Linked DNA regions of Struthio camelus. The protein of the gene in region 1 purifies or fractionates together with the protein of each later gene. This does not show direct contact. Links are inferred from orthologs where the notes say so. Each region holds a gene or a part of one and is shown in the gene's direction. Other genes may lie near its edges.

Region 1 (9,620 bases):
TGATATATCATGCAAGACAGTTTCCAGAATGTCTTCAGAATAAATAAGAATAAATAACTGCAAATGTAGAATCTATTCCATGCTTGTTGGTAAGTAGCTTTTGGTCTGTGGTTGAGGAGAATCTCTCTTAAGGAGAAGATGAGAGAAAATTTTAATTCACTTTTCAAAACCTTTCTTAGGGCCGTGGCTTGGAGCATCAAGGTGCACTTTACTAATGCATAAATACCATCCAGGTCTTATTGGTATTTGAACAGCAGTGGCAAATAGTTTGTTTGACCATTTTGTCCTTTCAGATTTCAACTAGGTTTTCAAATAAGTCATTCACCAATACTTTTTCCTCGTGATTGGTTAACTCAATAACCAGCTGAACAATGTTCATCCTACAAATTGCTTACTTTTTTTCCCCTCATCAATCTGCAAATAATTTATTCACAAATACTTTTTACACGAGGTAGCCAGCTCTAGCCAGGACAAATCAAGGTAATTTCCTACTATTTTGATCGAACAGCAGTACGACTTTATCTTGAACAGATCAATAGAGACAGGTTTTAATACATAACGGGTAAGCCGAGTTTTTCACAATTCTTTGTGAGCTCTCTGCTTTTCCTCGTATATCTGTTCAGCTCCTGAGATTGGAATGACAGGGGGGCATATCTTTTCCATCCAGGTATGCTTGGAAGCATTTCACAAAACCAACTGTACAGCTTAGATGGTGTAGGGATCCCAGCAGCCACGACTGCAATGGGGCAGCCTCTTGCCTGCGACATGGAAGCTGTTTAACAGAGCAAGGCAAAATTTAACAGGAGTTGAGGAAAGGAAATGAAGAAGAGCATTATACTCGCTTCAAAATACAAAGGGAACCTAGAGGCTCAATGAAACCAACCAATGTGAGTTTGGCTAGCACACCTCTTCAGAAAAAGATCTTTAATGAGCTACCGAACCCAAGACAACACATCTACACGTAAATATCTCCAGGACAACGTTTGCACTGCAGTTCCCTTTCCCCTGGGCTCTCATGCAAGCAGTTCGGAAGCAGCTGACAGTCTCTGTCCTGCCCTTAAGCAGCTGAGCACGGCCACATCTGTCTGTCTGTCTGTCTGCCTGTCCCTCTCTCCTGTTGCAGAGATCCGATGGCCACCACACACTAGGAGCAAGGGGCCTCTCGAAGCTGAGGCAATAAGACCGAAAGATTGCTCCCCTGCCTAAGGTCTACAGGCAGCAACTTGCACTGCGCGCAACTTGCACCTTCCAGCCACTGCCCCCAAACAGGGTGCTGGGTGCTTGTCTGGAGGAGCCTTCTGAGGGGCTATCTGAGATGTGTGGGACTGTTAAATGCTGCTCACGCTTGCACCCTGCGCAGGCCTGCTCTCCTTTGCCCTCTGCTGCCCAGGGAATGAGCTGGACAGACAAAACAAGTTGTTTGTCCACGTTTGTCATGAGAGAAACTCCACAAAAACCTGGCCAAGTAGGTGTTGACGGAGTGCCGCAAGTAGGGAGGGTTTGCACGTGGGTTTCTTCAGGATCTGTGCGTGTTCATGTTCATATGCTTACACGTATGCATGTTGTTTAATACAACCCTTCAATCTGGATCTTTACCGGAGATTCGGCTGGTTAATCTAGTCACCCCAAAACGAGCGATGCCTTCAGCCAAGGCATTGTGCAGAAATCTAGTACAAAGAAATGTAGGCAAACTTTTCCGCAGCATCATGAATAAAGCATACAGTATCTACCCAACAACAACAACGTGCTAAACTCTGAAAGTCAAACTGGATGCCTTCCTGAGAAACAAACAACTGACCACATATTTACTTTGCGTCTCATAAATAAATATGGAGAAAACACAAAAACAGAAGAAGATATTTGTCTCTGCTTTATACTCGGAGAAAGCTTTTGACTCAGTCTGGCTTCCACGGCTGAACTATACAAAATGGAATTGGCAAGGGGAAAAAATGACATAATCACATACATGTAACAATCCATTGAAAGTAGGACACAGAAAAAAGAGAAGAAAATGGGCTTTGAAGCAAGAAGGTAGACTAACAGTGTGGTCAACTTGGGCCCTGTTGTTTCGGGCACCTGCACTGGTGATTTATCAACCGCAGAGGAATAGTTACCAAATTGAATGAGGGATCTCAAACATCTGCTTAAACTGTCACAGAGTTATGAAATGTATTTGAACACAGTTCACTGCAAGGCCATGTAGTGAAAAAGAAAGAACATCACTGATGAATGGCAGGATAAAGGTGCGGTCTTGGAAAACAGAGATGCAGAAAGAGACTTGGATATTCAACATGACAACGCCCTCCGCACAAGTTCTTTGTGCAGTGTTGATAGTTAAAGGTCTAATTCCATTTCTAGAGGTGTGAGAAGGGGAATACCAGGTAAAGAGAAGGAAGTGACTTTGTCTCTGTGCGCTGCACGTGTGTATAGACACAGGTGCCCAGGTGTCAAAAGGTATTTAGAAATATGGGAGAGTCTGAAAAATGCTACAGGGGTCAGAAACCAAATCTTATAATGTGAGGCTTCACAGAAAACAACCTATTCAGTTTAGCAAGGTGAGCTGACTGTGTATAGTTACTTATCCGTGAAAATGGGATGAGTGTTCAGTTTCGTAGACAAAGTCATAACAAGTTCTGATGTCTAGAAGTTGGACAAATTCAACCTTGAAAGAAGCAATTTTCTAGCAGTAAGGATAATTAAACACTGGAATAAATTAGTAGGTGGGGTGAGGCACTCAACACTACTTGGAATCTTAAGACAAGATGTGTTGTCTTTCAAACAAACTCACTTTGATCCAGCGCTGGGAAAAATTTCTATGGCTTGTAAATACAGGTCAGATTAACTGATTACATGGCCCCTTCTGTCTAGAAGTCTGAGTATTATGGGGAGGAAAATGGTTCCTACTAAACACTAAGTGAACAAGTCAGTTTACACTTGAGGATACTGCACACCACAGCTCAGAGTTTTACCTGTATTTTTCACCAATTAACAATGCAAAGCAATGGTGAAGTAGACCCCTGTATCCAACTTTGACCGTGAATGCACTGGCAAATTCCAAGCTGGGCAGTCATAAGGAAAAGCTTTCCAATGACATAAGGAAAATAAAATTAAGTCGATCTCTTGGAGAAAGTTACTGCTTGTAACTGTTCAGCAGTTTAATTCAGGTCTTGAATTGGTAATCCTAAACGGGCAACAGACCACAGGAAATACAAAGCACAGAGCAAACAGGAGCCGGGGCTCCTGCAAATACAGCGGGCTTGTGCATACAGTGAACTTTACATCCATGACTACATTTATACGTACCTATTACCATCACTGGCACAAGGCTGGAGAGGCACAAGGGGATTTATTTTCAGGGCTGAAGTTTGATGAAGCCTCAGTAGTTTAACCAGAATGACACAGGCATACGAGTAAGGGGGAGAGATCTTCTCATCTGTTTTCCGAATGTGAAGTAAGTGACATGTCTTGGTTCACAGAAGTGATGTTTTTCAGTGAGGAAAAAAGTTTAGAAGAAAATGTATTTGAATGCTGGCCAAAGAAGGAGATAGAGCAGAAAAATCACAAACAGGCAGCAAGAGCAAACGGGCCTAGGAGGATACTGTAGACCTAGATGCAGTCGGTCCTATTTTGTTGGGGAAACCCTTTCTCAATCAGGCCTGAATTTGGTCTTGTTTTCAGTTTGGAAGTTAGCAGAGCTTATGTCCCAACAGGGCCGAGTCCCCAGGTAGCCCACAGCTCCGGCTTTGCAAAGGTACCTGACGTGTTCAGGTAATCGTGGCTGCAGGGCCAAAGTGTTCCTAATCAAGGGTCTGGCTTCAATCGTATCGGTTAACACCCTCTCCTCGGCAGCCAAGCATTAGAAGATAACAAAGTCCAATCTAAAATCCGCTCTGGTAGTCGTTCTCAGTTATGAAGGCAGTACTTACTTCCTGCTAATGGAAGCAAACAACCTCACCCGAAGCAGGGCATGCCAGGTGTGTGGAGATGCCGAAACACAGCCAAAACCAGCACACACGCCGCAGGAGGAGCAGCTCCAAACCCCGTGAGGGCCGCGGAGACCATCCATGTTGCGAAACGTGTAACATGGAGCTAGCTCCACCAAACAACAGAAAATCGGGTAGCCTAAAGGAAACTGGGGGAGTTACAGAGCAAAAAACACAAATGCACACAGGGAGAGCGCCAAATTTGCAGTTAATGTGGTGAGGGGATTGAGACGACAGATACTGTCCAGATGACTAGAGAGCACGCAAGCTCCTCAATTCTCTGTTTTTGCAAACAAACAGGAAATTAAATCTCCGAGCAAACAAAAACCTCTGCAGCCAGACCAGGAAGGACAGCGGCGGTGGCACTAATGCTGCAGCCTGTCACTGAATTAAGAAGGGACGCAGGCAGCGAAGGAGAAACCGCAACCACCACGTGCCTGCAGCGAGGTGTCGAGCGATGGCCCCTTCCCAACGCAACACCCACGGCCGTGGCGCCTGCAGCAGCAGCAGGCACTCGCCGTGGCGGCGAGCGCCGCTGGCCGGACTGCGCCAAGGAGCGGGCAGGGGACAGGGCAGCCCCCGCGCTGAGGCCGGCGGCTGCGTGGGGACAGGAGACACGGGTGGGACCCAAGTATCTGCGGGAGGGGGGCGGTGCAGGCAGCAGGAGTGTTACCACGGTGGTTGCGGTTTGGGAGATTGCGTGCGTGAGGGGGAAGGAAACCGGAGCGGAGCCTGGAGTCAGGGGGTGCGTGGCTGGGCGGGTGGGGGGGAAGGCCGCCTTTGGGGTTTGCGTGCGTGGGCAGCGGGGTACCTCCGCCGGGGGGTGTGTGTGTGTGCCTGTGTCCTGGGGGGCGGGAGAGCCGGGGGGGAGCCCCGTTTGGGGGGCAGAGGGCAGAAGCGAGCCCCATCTCCGTGTGACTGGGGGGGGGGGTTGCCAGCGCCAGGGCGGGGCTCCGCGCGGCGCCCAACGGCCGCGGGGGCGCCCAACGGCCGCTGCCGAGGGGGCCCCGCCCCGCCCCGCCGCGCGCCTCCCGCCTCCCCCCCTGCCGGGCGCGGGGCTCCGGCGGCCACGTGTGTGCGGAGGCAGCGGCCCCCGGCCGGGGAGCGGCGGCGGCACCGCCCTGCCCGCAGCGCGGCTCGGCTCGGCTCGGCTCGGCTCGGCTCGGCAGGGGGCTCCCCCCCCCCTCGGCTGTCGGCGGACGGGCCGGCGGCGCCTTCTCTCCTCCCCTTTCAGGGGGTGGGGGCCGGGCCGGGCCGGACCCCCGCGCCGCCCCGCTACCTGCGGGCGGGGGCGCGCGCGGGGGCGGGCGCTGGGGAAAGTTTGTGTCTGTGGTTGGCTGCGCGGCGCGGCGTGGCCGGTCGGGGCGGGCGGGCGGGTAGCTCCGTGCAGCTCGCAGGGCAGCGGGAAGGCGAGCGGCCGGTCGGCGGGGAGCGCGCAGCCGCCGGGCCCCGGGCGAGGCGAGAGGCACGCGGCGGGGCGGGGGGTCCGGCCAACATGGGGCGCCGCGGGGAGCGGGCGCCCTTCCTCCTCCTCCTGCTGCTCGGTGAGCCCGGGGGTGCGCGGCCGGGGGCGGGGGGGGGGGGAGGAGGAGGAGGAGGAGGGGGTCGGGCGTTTGCCCGCGGCCGCCTCGCCGGCAGGTAGCGGGTAAGGGCAGGGCAGGGCAGGGCGGGTCGTCGCCCGCGGGCCCAGCCCCGGCCGCGGGGCGGCCTCAGGCGGGAGGGGCCGCCCGTGGAGCCGCCTGAGGCGCGGCGGAGCCCCTCGAGGGGCCGGCGGGTGGCGGGGCCGCCCCGCCGTGCTGCGCCGCGCCGTGCCCGGCGGCCGTTTGTCAGCCGCCGCCCGGCCCGGCTGCGGCCGTTAACGGCTGGCGGCGCCCTATGGGGCTGGCGAGCCGGGGCCGGGGCGGTGCGAATGCGGCTGTTTTTCTCCCCGAAACTTTAGAGGGCCGCTAACGAGCAGAAATGGGGAGGGGATGCTACTTCGTGTGGCGTGTGGTCGCCTTGCGGAAGGGGCCTGCGCAGGAGGTCAGGGTGGTTCGGGGTGTCGGGCTCTGTACGGAGGTGGGGTGATGCTGGCAGTATGGCAGTAGTTGCTCTTATGTGACCTGGTGTATTGGGTGCCCTGTCTTTAGGGCGAGCGTAACGAGATCTCACGTTGCAGAGCACGAAGTGACTCATTTCAAGGGTTAGGAGGTGATCCCTCTCCTGTATGTTCCTCAAGTGAAATAACAGGAGGGGTCTCTGAAACCAGGGACAGGGACAGAAACCTGGACTGTGGTCACACAGGTGTTTCTCGGTAATGCTAGTACTTCTGTGCCCTTTTCCCTGCTCTTCCCCCACTGGGTTTGCTACCTCTGCTGTGAAGTGCCTGTGTTACATGATAACAAATATCGAGTAGTTGACATTATGCTATGTTCAAATAGTTGTGTAGTTGACATTAGATTAACATGTGGTAGTGCTCTTTACCACTGTCAGTTCCAGACGAGCAGCGTGCGGGAATAAATACTGGGGGCTCTTCAGAGCAAGAACTATGCAGAAGGGGGTGGGGGGGACAATATTTTTAGTGCATTCGTTTTGTTTTGCAAAGGAATGCTGGACACATAGCAATGTTGCTAACGGTGTTACTGAAGTAGTAGTGTATATAACCAGAGAACAAGATTGTCCAGGTAAGATAATTATGTGCAGTATTTAAATGGTGCTGTGTCAGCTCTGTGCAGTGAGAAGTACTGGAGGTGTTGGTAAGCGAGCATAGCCCACAAATTGTTATGTGCAGTTGTTGAACCAGGCCACTTGGCTAATTGCAGGTAGTAAATGGGAACCTTTTCCAGATTTGAGGTGGAAGGAGTGAGCAACCAAGCAGTCTCTTCCCGCCTTCCTCCCCTCACCCCCAAGAAACCCGTTCTGCAACACTTTCATTTAAACAAAGCCATATTAGCTAACCTAGTTTGGCCTTTTAATTCTGACATTGCTATGGCTAATTTTCCTTTAAACTCTGCGCTTTTCTTCATGGTTTGGCTGTTGAACCTTTCACAGAAAGATCTGCAGCACAGATAGTTAAAATTGAAAAATCAGCTTTCCAAATCTGGACTTGTACCAGTCTACTTCCTGAGGCTACTTAGAGGCAGTGAGGAAATCAGGATGGGGGATGTATATGCAAAAGTCAAGACCCTACCACACAGAGTGCTTTCTCTTACTTGCAGTCGAGGTTAGTAATCTCATTTCTCTTCACGATATAGGCATTTTGCGAGCTGGGAGAACAGTGAAGACCTGGAGAGAACACCTTTAACATTTCCTTAGAAACAGAAAGGGAATACAGTTTTTTCAATAGAATGGTTTAGTAGGACAAGTTGAAAATCAGGTCTCGCAGATACTGATTTTTACTTTTTGCTGCTTGACCTTGAGCACTTTCAGGATGAGATGCAACAGGAAAGTGTTGTGTTCTTCTTTCCAGACCAAAGAATTATAGGAACTTAAAATGTGCATATACAGATATTAGGCCACTGTTTGTGGTACAGTTTGTCTGAATGTTCTGGATTGCCTCCTGGGGATTTTTTTTTAAATCCAAATTGTGATATTCAAGTTAAAAGTGCTCTTGTGTCAGGTGGGAGGAAATTTTCAGTACTGCTTGAGATGTGTGTTGTGGTGTGGCTGTCTTCTGACAAGGTGGTCTTCCTTTCACTCTGGATGGGGGAAAAATGTGCTTCTGTTAAGGTGCATTTTCTAGCAGCTCTTTAACAGAGAGGCAGGATTTTTTAACTGATGCACTACAAGCATTCAGGAATTTTGTGTAAGCAAGGTGGCGAGAGGAGCTGAAGCACAGAAAAGTTCATCCCTTGCGTGTACTTACGCTTAATTGCTTTGTTCAGATCTTCACAAAATAACCCAGCAAAGGATACAAATGCCTAAAGTGCTTGTCAGTGACAGATAAGAATGTTTTCTCCTCCTTTCTCCTGGATCCAGTATAGTTGTTACCAAAGAGATCTGTTAGTGCCAGTCATGTTGGTAAGAAGATGGTGGAGCCTGGGTTTAAGGCTTGATCTAGTCCCTCTTTTCTTCCCTCCTCTGGTGTGGTTAGATCATGATGACGGAGAGCAGCATGAGGGAAATTTGCACTACCATTGCCTGTTTTAGGTGTAATTTCATTATGCAGTCAACCTACATCATCAACTTGTGAAATGCTCAGGAAACCAAAATATCCTTCCTTGGACAAGACTTTGAAAAAACAAAGCAGTTACCTGGTGATTACCAAGGCTCGGGGAGGAGGGGGGAGGAACACACTGTCACAGGGAAAACAGTAAGCCTTGCGGCAACTCGATTTTTTTTTTTTTCTGTTCCTGTTTGAGATTCAAGGTAAGAATTTAAATGTAACTGAGAAAACGCTGGCTTTTGTTTATGTGCTATGGGACTTGAGGAGAGCAGGCACTCAGCAGATCTTGGGGGAAAGGCACTGATGATGTGTTTCTAGAAGTGACCTTTTTCTTATTATCAGTCAGGCCTGTGTGACGCCCTCTGTCCACTCTGATGACAGCCAGCTCCAGCACTCCAGATCCCCAGATGCCACGCGTATAGGTGAATAGGATTATTTCCTATCACTTGTATCTGAAATTCTTTAGATTTTAGAGTGGTTTTTTTTTAATTTTCTTCGGAAGCTACAACAATTAGTCATTTGAATCAAGGTTTATTTCAGGCTCTGCAATAGAAAGCTTTTGGCAATTAGTAGAAGTTATTGCAATCTTGAACTTCAAGGAAACGTGTGCTTTATTCTTTCTCCACGTTTGCAGTTTATGGGAAAGCATTAGGCAGTTAAAGAGCCTTAAGGTGTGAGGCAGGGAGATGGTATAACGATGAGTGCCCAAGCAGCTTTCAAGGTGTGTTACAGTGGAATCTGCTTCCTGTTTCCCTTACTGGTGTCTGGACACCTGCCAGGGAGCTCGTTACTGCTATTGCAGGTGGCCTTTGCCTTCCTTCTCTTGGAAGAAAGCAGACTCATGTCCTCACTAGTACTTGGAGAAGCAGCAGTCAGCTAGACCTGTGTATCTCTGTAGCTTTGGAGGTGGTTAAAAAGGTTCCCAGAGGGGAAATACCAACAAACCTGTCCTGATCTTAGCAGCTGCTGGCTGCTAAGGTGGTAAAAGCATGTACTGAATGTTGGAAATTGGCTGGTAAAGCACTGGAAGGCAGGTGGTGTTCCTGAGGAGGAAGCATTTTCCGTGTGGTTTTGCCATACTGTTCTATTTTCATAGGATGTAGACTCTAGGAAGATGTGAGACTTCAAGAAAGAGGGTTATAGGGAGTGGTTTTCCCTCTGCATCCCATGTTCTTCCTGGTTTGTGAAAGATAACTTAGTCACCCTTTCTGGCTCTCGTGGCGTCTTTGTAGGTTCTTCTCCAAGGCCACTCTTTCGATGTGGCCAGCACAGGTGCTTTTTCTGAAATTTCTTGTCCTTGTTCTCCAGGTTTCTTGATTGCTACACTTCAACATAGCAGCAGCTTGTGCTTTCAGCAGCCTCTGTTGTATTTGGCTTCAGTCCCTGAACTGAGGTATAAACCTGCCTGAACAAGATTTAAAGTAAGCAGTAGGGGTCATTCAAAAATGCAGTCACATGCTTGAATAGAAGAGAACTTTAAAAAAAAAAAAAAG
Region 2 (9,620 bases), about 23 Mb from region 1:
ATGCCAATACAGAGTTTGAAAATGATAAATAATTATGAAACAATTTCTTAAGAGTTCCTAAGTGCGCACAGAGATTTTCAAGTTGCACTCCTGACATTCTGACTCCTAATGTATTATACACAAAAGGTCTTGCACTAAATACTTGAAAAGATGTGCCTAAATCTCTTCTAATCTTATTCAAACCTTCCTTTTAAAAATTGAGTTTAAAAGTATGCAAAACAGAAAAGTTAAATATCTATCCGGCTTCAGGCCTTTACTTCTAGCTATACTTCCAGTGGTAGAGGAGGACCCAATTTCTAATGACATCTCATGGGGCTTTGTGGAGTCTTCAAAGCTCTTTTCTCACGTCAGAAGGCGGACAAACCTCCATGATGGACAGAATTGCTAAGAGCATGAGGTCATCCAGAAGGCAAGCTGCTATGGATACCAAAGTCCAAACGCTTTTCCTTCAGCTGTGAAAGAAGGACAGTGTTTTTGTCATTGTCTTACCAGGATGATTGATCCTATGAGCCAGTTTTGCAATGAAATGAAAATCCTGATGCTCCAGCTCAAAGACCAACCTCTGTCCCTCACAGCCCCAAAGGGAAAAACCAACAGGAAAACTTACATGTTACAACTCTCTCTCATGTATCACCCTACTCCAAATTATTGTAGCATTTAAAATAATAGAAATAAGTATCTTTAAAAATTGTCTGAAAGGAGTAGATCAGAAGAACTAACATACTTAAACTGAGGGGTACATGGATGTACTCAGGACTTCAAGGGGTAAAAGGAATTAGGAGGCCGCAGATCCCTACATTGCTGTCGTCTGGGTCATTGTAAACTCTCAGCTACATGACAGCAGAGAAGCTGTGCGGTTGTGCAGCCCCCTCTGCTCGCCTGATCGCTGCCTCCAGCCCTGGACAGAGCGTACCACAATCACAAGTTACAAAGCAAAAAAATTTCACTGAAGTTAAAAGGCAAACAAAACGGCCTTTTTTTCTTTCTTTTGTGACTGGCTTGAACAATAAGAGATGTTATTTTTCTACAAAGATGAAAATTGTTATTATTTTTCTACTCTGCTCTGCACTTCTCAAGAACCTCTGTTAATCTCTATCCTTCACTGAGGAAAGCTTTGCAGTCTGTCTCTCGGTGGTTAGAATCATCTGTGCCTGGATGTTGAAAGGAGCTGGAAGAAACATGTTAAAAAATCTGAAACTGTTTATGCAAAGAATATTAAAGGAATTGAGTTAGCGGACACAAGTCCTTCCATATATTCACAAAGGTAGACATAGGGGGAAAAGTGGTCAAGGAGGCTGCAAGACTGTGCGCGTCTGCAGTACTTACTAGTGGTTTCCAGTATCCTTTAATACAGGTGGCGAAGGAACCCTTTCTGTTTTCCCTCACTATTAATCAAAGGATCAAAGTTCTTTGGATAGCACAGCCTGAGGAGAAGGTGCTTTTCTGTGAGAAGCACACACTTTTTCACTAGTGGCACAGCAAGAATTAATTTGAATTTAGTTTCAAATTAAAATAGAAAAAAATAATTTGGGTTATCTGTAGATGAAAACTAAGTCAGCGTCCTGTCTAGATGATTAGAAAGGTAATTTTAAAGAGCTTCTGGTAAATTTGGACTTCTCCTTGACAGAAATGTCCTGAATTTGCCCTTCTCTGATACACTAGGAGAAAATAACACTTTAACCATCCATTATAATTTTAAGTGCAGATAATAAATGTGTAGTGCAAATTGTCTTGGCCTGTTCTCCCATGTAAATACAAGCTTTTAAAATAACAAATCATTACGAAATAATTTTATAATGGCCATAGATATCCAACAGTGATTTCTATTATACAGAAATTCAATTGATTACTATCTCATTCCAAAATGCTCAGAGAAGTTCAGATTACTTTCAGAGAGTAATGGCAGAACTACACGCTCAAAGGCTGAAATATGAATGTCCTCTCCTTACCCTCATAAAGAAAGAAAAAAAGGAGATAAGCATGGATTCTAACTCTTTCCATTCCATATCCTTAAGTTCAATTTATGTCACTTACATTACAGTTTTTTATTCAAACCCTAAAACATACCTCTCCTTTTAGTAATGCATTGCTAATAACTTTGAAGATGTAAAGACAAAAGATTGGGCTTTTCCCTCTCTGTATACAGTTTCTTACAAGTTTAGTCCAACCATTTGGATCATGAAACCTAATCAGTAATCAGGAAATAAACACAAAAAAACCCACACTGTTTGCTAGCAGTATCTTGCTATTCATACTAAAAACAAATACATCAGTTCCATCTTTTAATAAATTAATTTCCTGGGTGAGCAGGGAAACTTTGGATTTCAGTAAGTACAAACTCACAGGATGTTTTGATCCATCAGGTCCATTTCTTCTTCTAATCGAAAAGGTACCTACCACCCCTGATTTTCATGGGAGCCGCTTTAACACAGTGTAAGCATGAAAAGCTTAATAATATCATGGGTTTTTTTTTATCTAAAGCGCTCAAAAATTTTAGAAAGTTAAGAAAAGGAACATTACTGACATTGACTAGGAGGCATAAATTATTAATGGAGAAATTTTTAAAAGTGATATAGAAAATTAGTCACAGTCGAGAATGAAACACAGTACGTTCACTGACCATCTGTGTTTAGTCCATAGTTACCCCTGGAGAAGAGCTTTAGTCACCTCCATTTACTAATATCAGCCTTTCTGGATCTATACCGTTGTGGCCAGCCTCTACTTCTCCTTTGCCCGTTACTGACCTCCATAACAAACCCAAATGCTTTAGGTAGCGTTTTGTGAGGGGTTAAGTGGTATTTGTCCTTCTCTCGGGGTCAAGGTCGTGACCCTCTGTACTACATGGTCTTTTAATCAAAGGCCCTGAATCAGAGCAGCAGAAAGCTAAGAAGGCATCATTTAACATGACCCTGCTCCCCACTATCCTACCTTGGGACACTGGGGCCTTTGGGCCATTTTGGTTCTTAGCTACAGCCAAGCCTGATTCACAAACAACAATGCAGCAGCCTGCCATCTTTCCCCATGTACAGTTGTATGCGCTCTCTCTCTGAATTTCTCCTAGCTATGTATTTTTCTGTCTTGTTTTCTAATGGAAACATATCAATATTTTGCAACCTTCTCTGCAAAACTGATGTCCAATTCAATCCCTCCTCTACTGTATTAGCTCTGGAATGTATTTCACGTTATCATTTATTTTGGCAACAAAAGCATCAACATGTTTTTGTTTGCATTTCAGTGGCTTTTCTGTTTTTTTCTGTTCTGCTTTTTTTTTTTTTTTGACTCTCAATAACTTCTGTCATTACTTTAATAATGACAAATTGAGATATGGGCCCTCAGTTTTCATTACTACCCTAGTAAGAATCAGATGCCGAGGGCTGAACTTCCAATTCAAATCAATGCGAACTTCTCCACTGAAATTTACATTAATGTGTTTTGTCTCACAACCGGGTGAAATAAAGGCATACGCACAAACAGTTACTGTGGATCAGTTGACGGGCAGCAACATATCTTCTTCGCTGGTATAACCTCATCTTTCTAAATTCCATGCTCATAACTTTTACAGACGTATTTGAGAGATTAAAGCAGTTTACCTGTTAACTTTGTTGTTAAGTGTATCCTGCATGAGAAAGTTACCCATTGAAGCTGGGCTGAGGCATTTAAGTTTGTTTAACTAAATCCATGCAAGAATCGGCAAAGTATTGGCCTGCGTATCGTAGGGATGCGTCTACTTTTTGCACGTCTTTCCTTGTTTCATCACTGTCTGGTAGAGCAACTCTCGATGATGCGAGAACTATTTCCCCTGACTCCTCTGCCCTGCGCTCTGCCCCGCAGCAGCCCAGCGCGGGGGCGGCAGCAGCAGCGGCGGCGGCGGCAGCCCGGGGCCGGGAGCGCGGGACCGGGGGGCACCGCGGGGCGCGGAGCGGCGGGCTGGCAAAGGTGCCGGCGGGGCAGAGCAAGCCGGAGAGGCAGGTGAAAGGGCGGAGAGTGGACAAGGGAGGGCGAAATGCACAGCAGGGAAGGAGGGAGGGCCAAATGCTCCGGGAGGGAGGGCAAAGGCAGGGGCAGAGGGAGGAGAGGGGGCCGGGTTAAAGAGCAGGGGAGCCGGGGGAGGGGAAGCGGAGCGGGACCTGGCGAGAGGCAGATTTAAGGAGTGGCACTGTGGGAAAGTAGCCGCGCTGCGCCCCGTCCTCAGCTCGGAGCCCCGCTGCTGCTCGCTGCTTCTCCCCCGCCGGCCCGCAGGATGCCTGTGAAAGGAGGCACCAAGTGCATCAAGTACCTGCTCTTCGGCTTCAACTTCATTTTCTGGGTAAGGGGCCCCCGCCCGGCCCGACCCTGCCTCGCGGAGCCCTCCGGCGTGCCCGGGACAAGGGGTGTTTGCCCGCCCAGGGCTCGCCTCACGGAGCAAGGGGCTCCGGTTTCTCCTTGCCCCGACGTGTTTCCCTTGGGAAGGAGCCGTTTGCCCTGCGTCGCCTGCCTCTTCCCCCTTGCGCCCATGGGGTCCGGGGGGGGGGGGGGATAGGAGGGGTGACCCTGTGCAAGGGCTGGAGGGAGGGGAATTTCATTCCTCCCCTCCCCCGCCTCGCCTTGAGAGAACTAGGTGTTTTCCCCATTCCCCCCCCCCCCCGGGTGGGGGGGGTTTCCCTGCGCTCCCGCCCTGCCGAAGTTTTTCCCCGAGCGGCGGCCTGGTGTGGCGTGGCGCGGCGTGCGCCCGGAGCCGCGCAGCCCGGTGCCGGGGCAGCGGTGTGGGGAGGGGTGGGGGGGTGCTGCTGCCGCCTTGACGCCTCGACGCCCCGGGTCTTGCCCCGCGGGCGCGGCGGCTGCGGCGGGCAGCGGGCTGGCGGCGCGCCCGCGGGCGGCTCTCCCTCCCGCTCCGGGGGCAGGTCCGCCCGCCGCCCCGGGGCGCGCTGCGCGCCTCTCTGCCGCTGCCCCCGCGCCGTCGGTGAGCCCCGCTGCCAGGGGCCGGGCCGGGCCGGGCCGCCGGCCAGGTGCTGGTTACCTGCCCGCGGCGGCGGTGCAGACAAACGCCCACGCAGTCAGGTGGCGGCGAAGGCCGGGGAGTTTCCCTGCCTCGCGATTAAAGGCGGCCGGGCGGCTGTGGAAGTGCAGGAGGATCTAGCGAAGCTGCTGCTGTGTCTCATGTGCTCAATAATATGATGTGTATATTGCGGTTATGATATCTAGCGTGGTACGTTCAGCAAGAGGCATTCGAATAAGATGCATACCCAGCTCGTTACTCTTTTAAAACTTCCCTTCCTAGACCCATAGGCAGAAAATCCTTTTATCAGACTGTGTATCCTCCCTGTTGATGTGTCTGAGGAGGGCGGAGGGGGGGAAATGCGGCAGTTGAAGGTAGTTTTTCGGGTTTTTTTTTCCCTCGCAGCAGCATATACAACACTTGCACAGAAACTCTCCTTGAGTTTAACTTGCTCGCAAAGCTGAAGTCTTTTTAGGTGAGCAGGCTATGGCAAGGGGTGGTGAACTAGCTATGTGCAAATTGGAGCTTGTGATCATGATCGTCTTACTCGTCTTGGTGGGAACTTCAGCTAAAGCTGTAGCTGCTGCCTCGAATCTTGTAGGAAACATTTCCTAAAGAAAGTCCTAAAATAGCTTAATCTGAAGAGCACGACACAGCAAGTGAAAGCTGTCTTGAGTGTAGTTTCTGGCATGGCTACCTCTAGTCAGCTATGCCATGTCAGGAAGCATGGCATAATTAAGAAGTTGTCTGTTTCCCCAAGTACTTTGAGAAGCGGCCACATCTGAATTTAATATTGTCTGCTTTGTGGAAAAAGGCCAAAGGGAATGCAATAGAGCACTGCATGCATAACTTCTAGATGTGAAGTGTGAGCTCAAAGGGAATTACTTCTAGGAGCAGGTGGGTTTTGAGGGTGTGTTGTTTTTTGGGTTGTTCTCTTTCTCCCTCTCCCCCCCCCCTTTTTAAGTTATTTTCCTCTAGGCTATCTCCTTCAGGGATAAATGCAGTATGCGTGTGTGTTTTCTACACCCACTTACCCTGCAATATGGAGAAATGAGTTTAGAGCTGTGTAAAGAAAATCCTTCTGTGGTCAGTAGCAGTGCTGCACATGGGATGATTGCAGGTACAGTGTTAATGGATAAAGTGCTCTGATCTCCTAAGCTAAAAATTGGTTTCAGTAGAGTGTGAAGATGGATTCAGGCTGCAGTTGAGGGAAAGCAAGGGAACTTGCATGGGGAAACTTTACAAGGACACAGAAAGTATTTCCATCCTAGACTCACCAAACTTTAAATAGGTATTGGGAGAGGAAAGTCCTCATATTTGGAGGAGGATGACTGATAAGGGAAAAACCATCTAACAGTGCACTGGATGAAACTTTTGGATGCCTTGCATGTTGTAAACATGTCTTAGCTTTAGTGTCATCTCTCAGACTTCTAAATTAATTTGCGGTGCTGGTACTTGCAGCTGAATCAAGTGCTACTTTTGCTGTAATCAATTTTGAAATACCAGGTCACTTAGGCAGTTTAAGTACATGTTTGTTATCCTGAAACATAAGAAAAATACAAGTAATCTGTGTAGCTTTTGATATTGTATTTATCTCAATGAGGTGCTAAACTTAACCTTGTTGAAACCTGAGAAAACAGCTTGACCGTGGAGCAGACCTGTTGCTGAAGCTCTTCCTTGAGCAAAGTGGCCGCTGCTCCCAGCAGCGGGTGGGCTGCGCTGGCTGTGTTAGCTTCTTAAACTGAATGAGAACAGGGCAAAAAGGAAGAGGGCAAAAAAGAGGCCCCATAAGAGTAATAAAAGGGGGATTAATACTTGTTCCTCTAAGTATCCTGACAAGCAGCGGAAACATCAATAGATAATAAATGTAAAACACCTAGGATCTTTCAGGGATAAATACATATGTAGAGCAGCTGTGACTTACAGTAGTAGTCCTTGGTTTTCAGGGCTCATTACATGTATGTATGTGCTTTACAGAAACTACTGAAGGGGCTTTTCAAGTGCAATGTTAAAGTGAACCTCATACCTCTGTTTTATTTATCTATAGAGGATATCTTAGATTCTTTTAAACTGTTAGGCTTCTGCAAACAGGTTTTTAGAGTGGGGGGGGAGAAGAAAAAAGGAGGGGAAAAAAAAAAAACTCTCTTGGGGCAGGCAGCAGCCTGTGGGGGGAACAACTCTACTGAGAAACAAGGCTTTACCTCTTCCCATGAGCAGGCTTCATATAGCATAGGAGAGGTGAAGAGCCAATTCCATGTAAATTGGGCAAAAATGTCATTTCAGAGTGTAATTCTACACTTAAATTTGAAGGTGTAATCAGCAACTGTCTCAGGGGCAGCTAGCTAGGGAACCCCCAAGAGAAGTAAGTAGCTCAAAGGTCTGAGTCTCCTTGTCCTAGAGCCTACTCTGCAATGGTGATAATGATTTGTTTGGATTCAGTTTGCTGCCTGAAACAACAGAAAGCAAAGGATTCAGTGCACTTCTGATTACATTTACATAGTACTCTTTTTTTTTTTTTTAAATAAATTGCCTCAAAAAGACAGGTGAAGAGTTTAAACAGTCTGCTGCAAACCTGTGAGTGTTTACAGGTAGCATATTAGGTGGCATATATTTGCTGTGTGCTTCCATCAAGACTTGAGGACAAAAGGAAGCGGGAAGAGCAAAACGACTGGGTATAGAAGGTTATTAAAATGAAATAAAGGACACCTTCAGAAGTTGTTGAAGCTGTATCCAAATGAAGAAAATAGAAAGAATCATAAATACTGGCAGGCCAAATTTAAGGAAAAAAAAAAAACCTACAATAAAGCATGCCAAAGGAAGAGCTTTAGTTAGAATTACTTCTGCAAGTTACTCCTAATAAACCCCTCTCTGGACACACTAGAACCAGGATGCTTGCCAGAGAGGCAGTAGTCAGTCCAGGTGTGTGTGAAAGAGCGTTAAAAGAGAAGTTCACAGACACACTAAGAAAAAGAAAATTCTGCTGGAAGATCTTCTGGGAAAATCCTGGGCTGTGACATGTCTTTGACTCCGAGTCCCTCACAGCCTTGAATTGACCTCTTGACAAATAGGTTGTGACATGTCAGAAAATGTGTGATCCTGGCAAGCTGCTAATCCCCAGTAGTTACTTGAGGACAGTGAAGGATGAAATACATTGATGAGGTAATGCCTTAGGCTTGCCACCCACCTTGGCACCGGAGAGGAGTGTGGCAAACCTGATGCTGGGAGTGTGGGGGATGCACTCATGTCTGTTCTTGGTGGAGTGTTGGAGGCAGTACCGCCGCAAGGGCAGATAGAGAGAGGATCTCCCTCACAGTGGAGAGGACCAGCATGAGTGAACTGGGTGGTCATCTATATTTGTACTTAATTTGGAAGAGCTTGCAAGTAGTGAGGTAACACTTTGTGAGGGTGGCATCCATTACTCAAAGCAGTAAAGATGAGTGCATAGGGAAATAGCAGGGCTCAAAGCGGTTGTATGACAAAATAGAACGTGAAGTCCACTGTTGGTAGAAATCAAGTAATGTGTATGAAGAGTGGGAAGAGGAAACAGTCCAGACTTGCATTGTGGTAGGCTCAGAGGCAACCACTGCAATAGAAGGATGAGGTCTTGGGAGGAAAAGGTTTATGATAGCTTCCCAAAAATACTGGGTTGGTATTCAGCAGTGATGAAGGGAAATCGCATTCAGAGATGACTAAGATGAGATGACTGATCTCAGAGATGACTGAGAGACTAAGCGAACAGGAACAATAGTGCTGCTGTACAAATCCATGATGTGCTGACGTCCAGCAGTATTTTGTGCTGTTCTGGTCTCTTGCCTACCTTGGAAGAATGTGGTAGCATTAGGAGAAAGAAGAGGATGGAGTATGGAAGGGATGTTTGATAAGGACCATGGACTGTGTTAAGAGTGGGAGCTAGTGAGTCACTAGTGTGTGGTGGTGGTGTTGTGTGGTTTTTTTTTTTTTTTTCTTTCAAACTTTCAGATCTCCAGAGTTCTGCCTAAGATATACTTGTTGCCTCAAAGGAGGGTAGGGAGAATTTGCATTTAATTGCTAGAAGTGCTTGTCACGCCTCTGAAAGCCTGCTTGAACCGATGCACTTGCATGGAGTTTTTTTTTTGCTTACTTTGTAGGGAGTAGTTTTGGAAGTTAAGTTTGGGAGTGGTTGTGGTAGTTAAGTAGTTCAGTAGACATCCAGTCACCCTGGATAGCTCACGCTCAAAAGTGTGAGAGTGATAAGTGGGTGTACTTTCCCTTCAGTTAGAGAAAACAACTACACATACTCAACTTCTCACTGCTGCGCTTTTTTTTTTTTTTTTTTTTTTAAATGGCTGCTGTGTGTGACTCCAGTTGGGAGTACGGCTGCTCTGGATTTAGTTGGGGTTTTTTTGTTTAGTTTTTTTCCTGTGCTGGCCTTGTCTTCGGTCTGACCTGTACCAGTTGTACCTGTTCAGAATGTCTTTTAAGACTGATGTAGAACTAACATAAAGCTTCTGCCCCCCCCCCCCCCCAAGCAAGGAGTCAGTGGAGCCATTCAAATATGTGCTTTAAACCCGAGTGGTGCAGTAGTCATAGCACAGTTGGTTTGGAATAATCTTGATGTGACCACATGCTCAAATGACTTGAATTGTACGGGTTTACTACCTTTAGT

Evidence for each region. The genes of interacting proteins can lie anywhere in the genome.
Region 2: the proteins of PTGFRN (region 1) and CD9 purify together in Homo sapiens (co-immunoprecipitation; 8 studies listed by BioGRID and IntAct, with this or other methods). This does not show direct contact. The link is inferred for Struthio camelus from reciprocal best matches to the Homo sapiens genes PTGFRN and CD9.

What each region holds. Positions count from the first base shown.
Region 1 is NC_090942.1:106,095,082-106,104,701, forward strand, and holds the start of PTGFRN (prostaglandin F2 receptor negative regulator), read left to right. Parts: upstream 1-5,379; 5' UTR 5,380-5,478; coding exon 5,479-5,527; intron 5,528-6,015; exon of another isoform or gene 6,016-8,549; intron 8,550-9,620. UniProt on the Homo sapiens protein: Inhibits the binding of prostaglandin F2-alpha (PGF2-alpha) to its specific FP receptor, by decreasing the receptor number rather than the affinity constant. Functional coupling with the prostaglandin F2-alpha receptor seems to occur.
Region 2 is NC_090942.1:83,040,062-83,049,681, reverse strand, and holds the start of CD9 (CD9 antigen), read left to right. Parts: upstream 1-3,984; 5' UTR 3,985-4,240; coding exon 4,241-4,306; intron 4,307-9,620. UniProt on the Homo sapiens protein: Integral membrane protein associated with integrins, which regulates different processes, such as sperm-egg fusion, platelet activation and aggregation, and cell adhesion.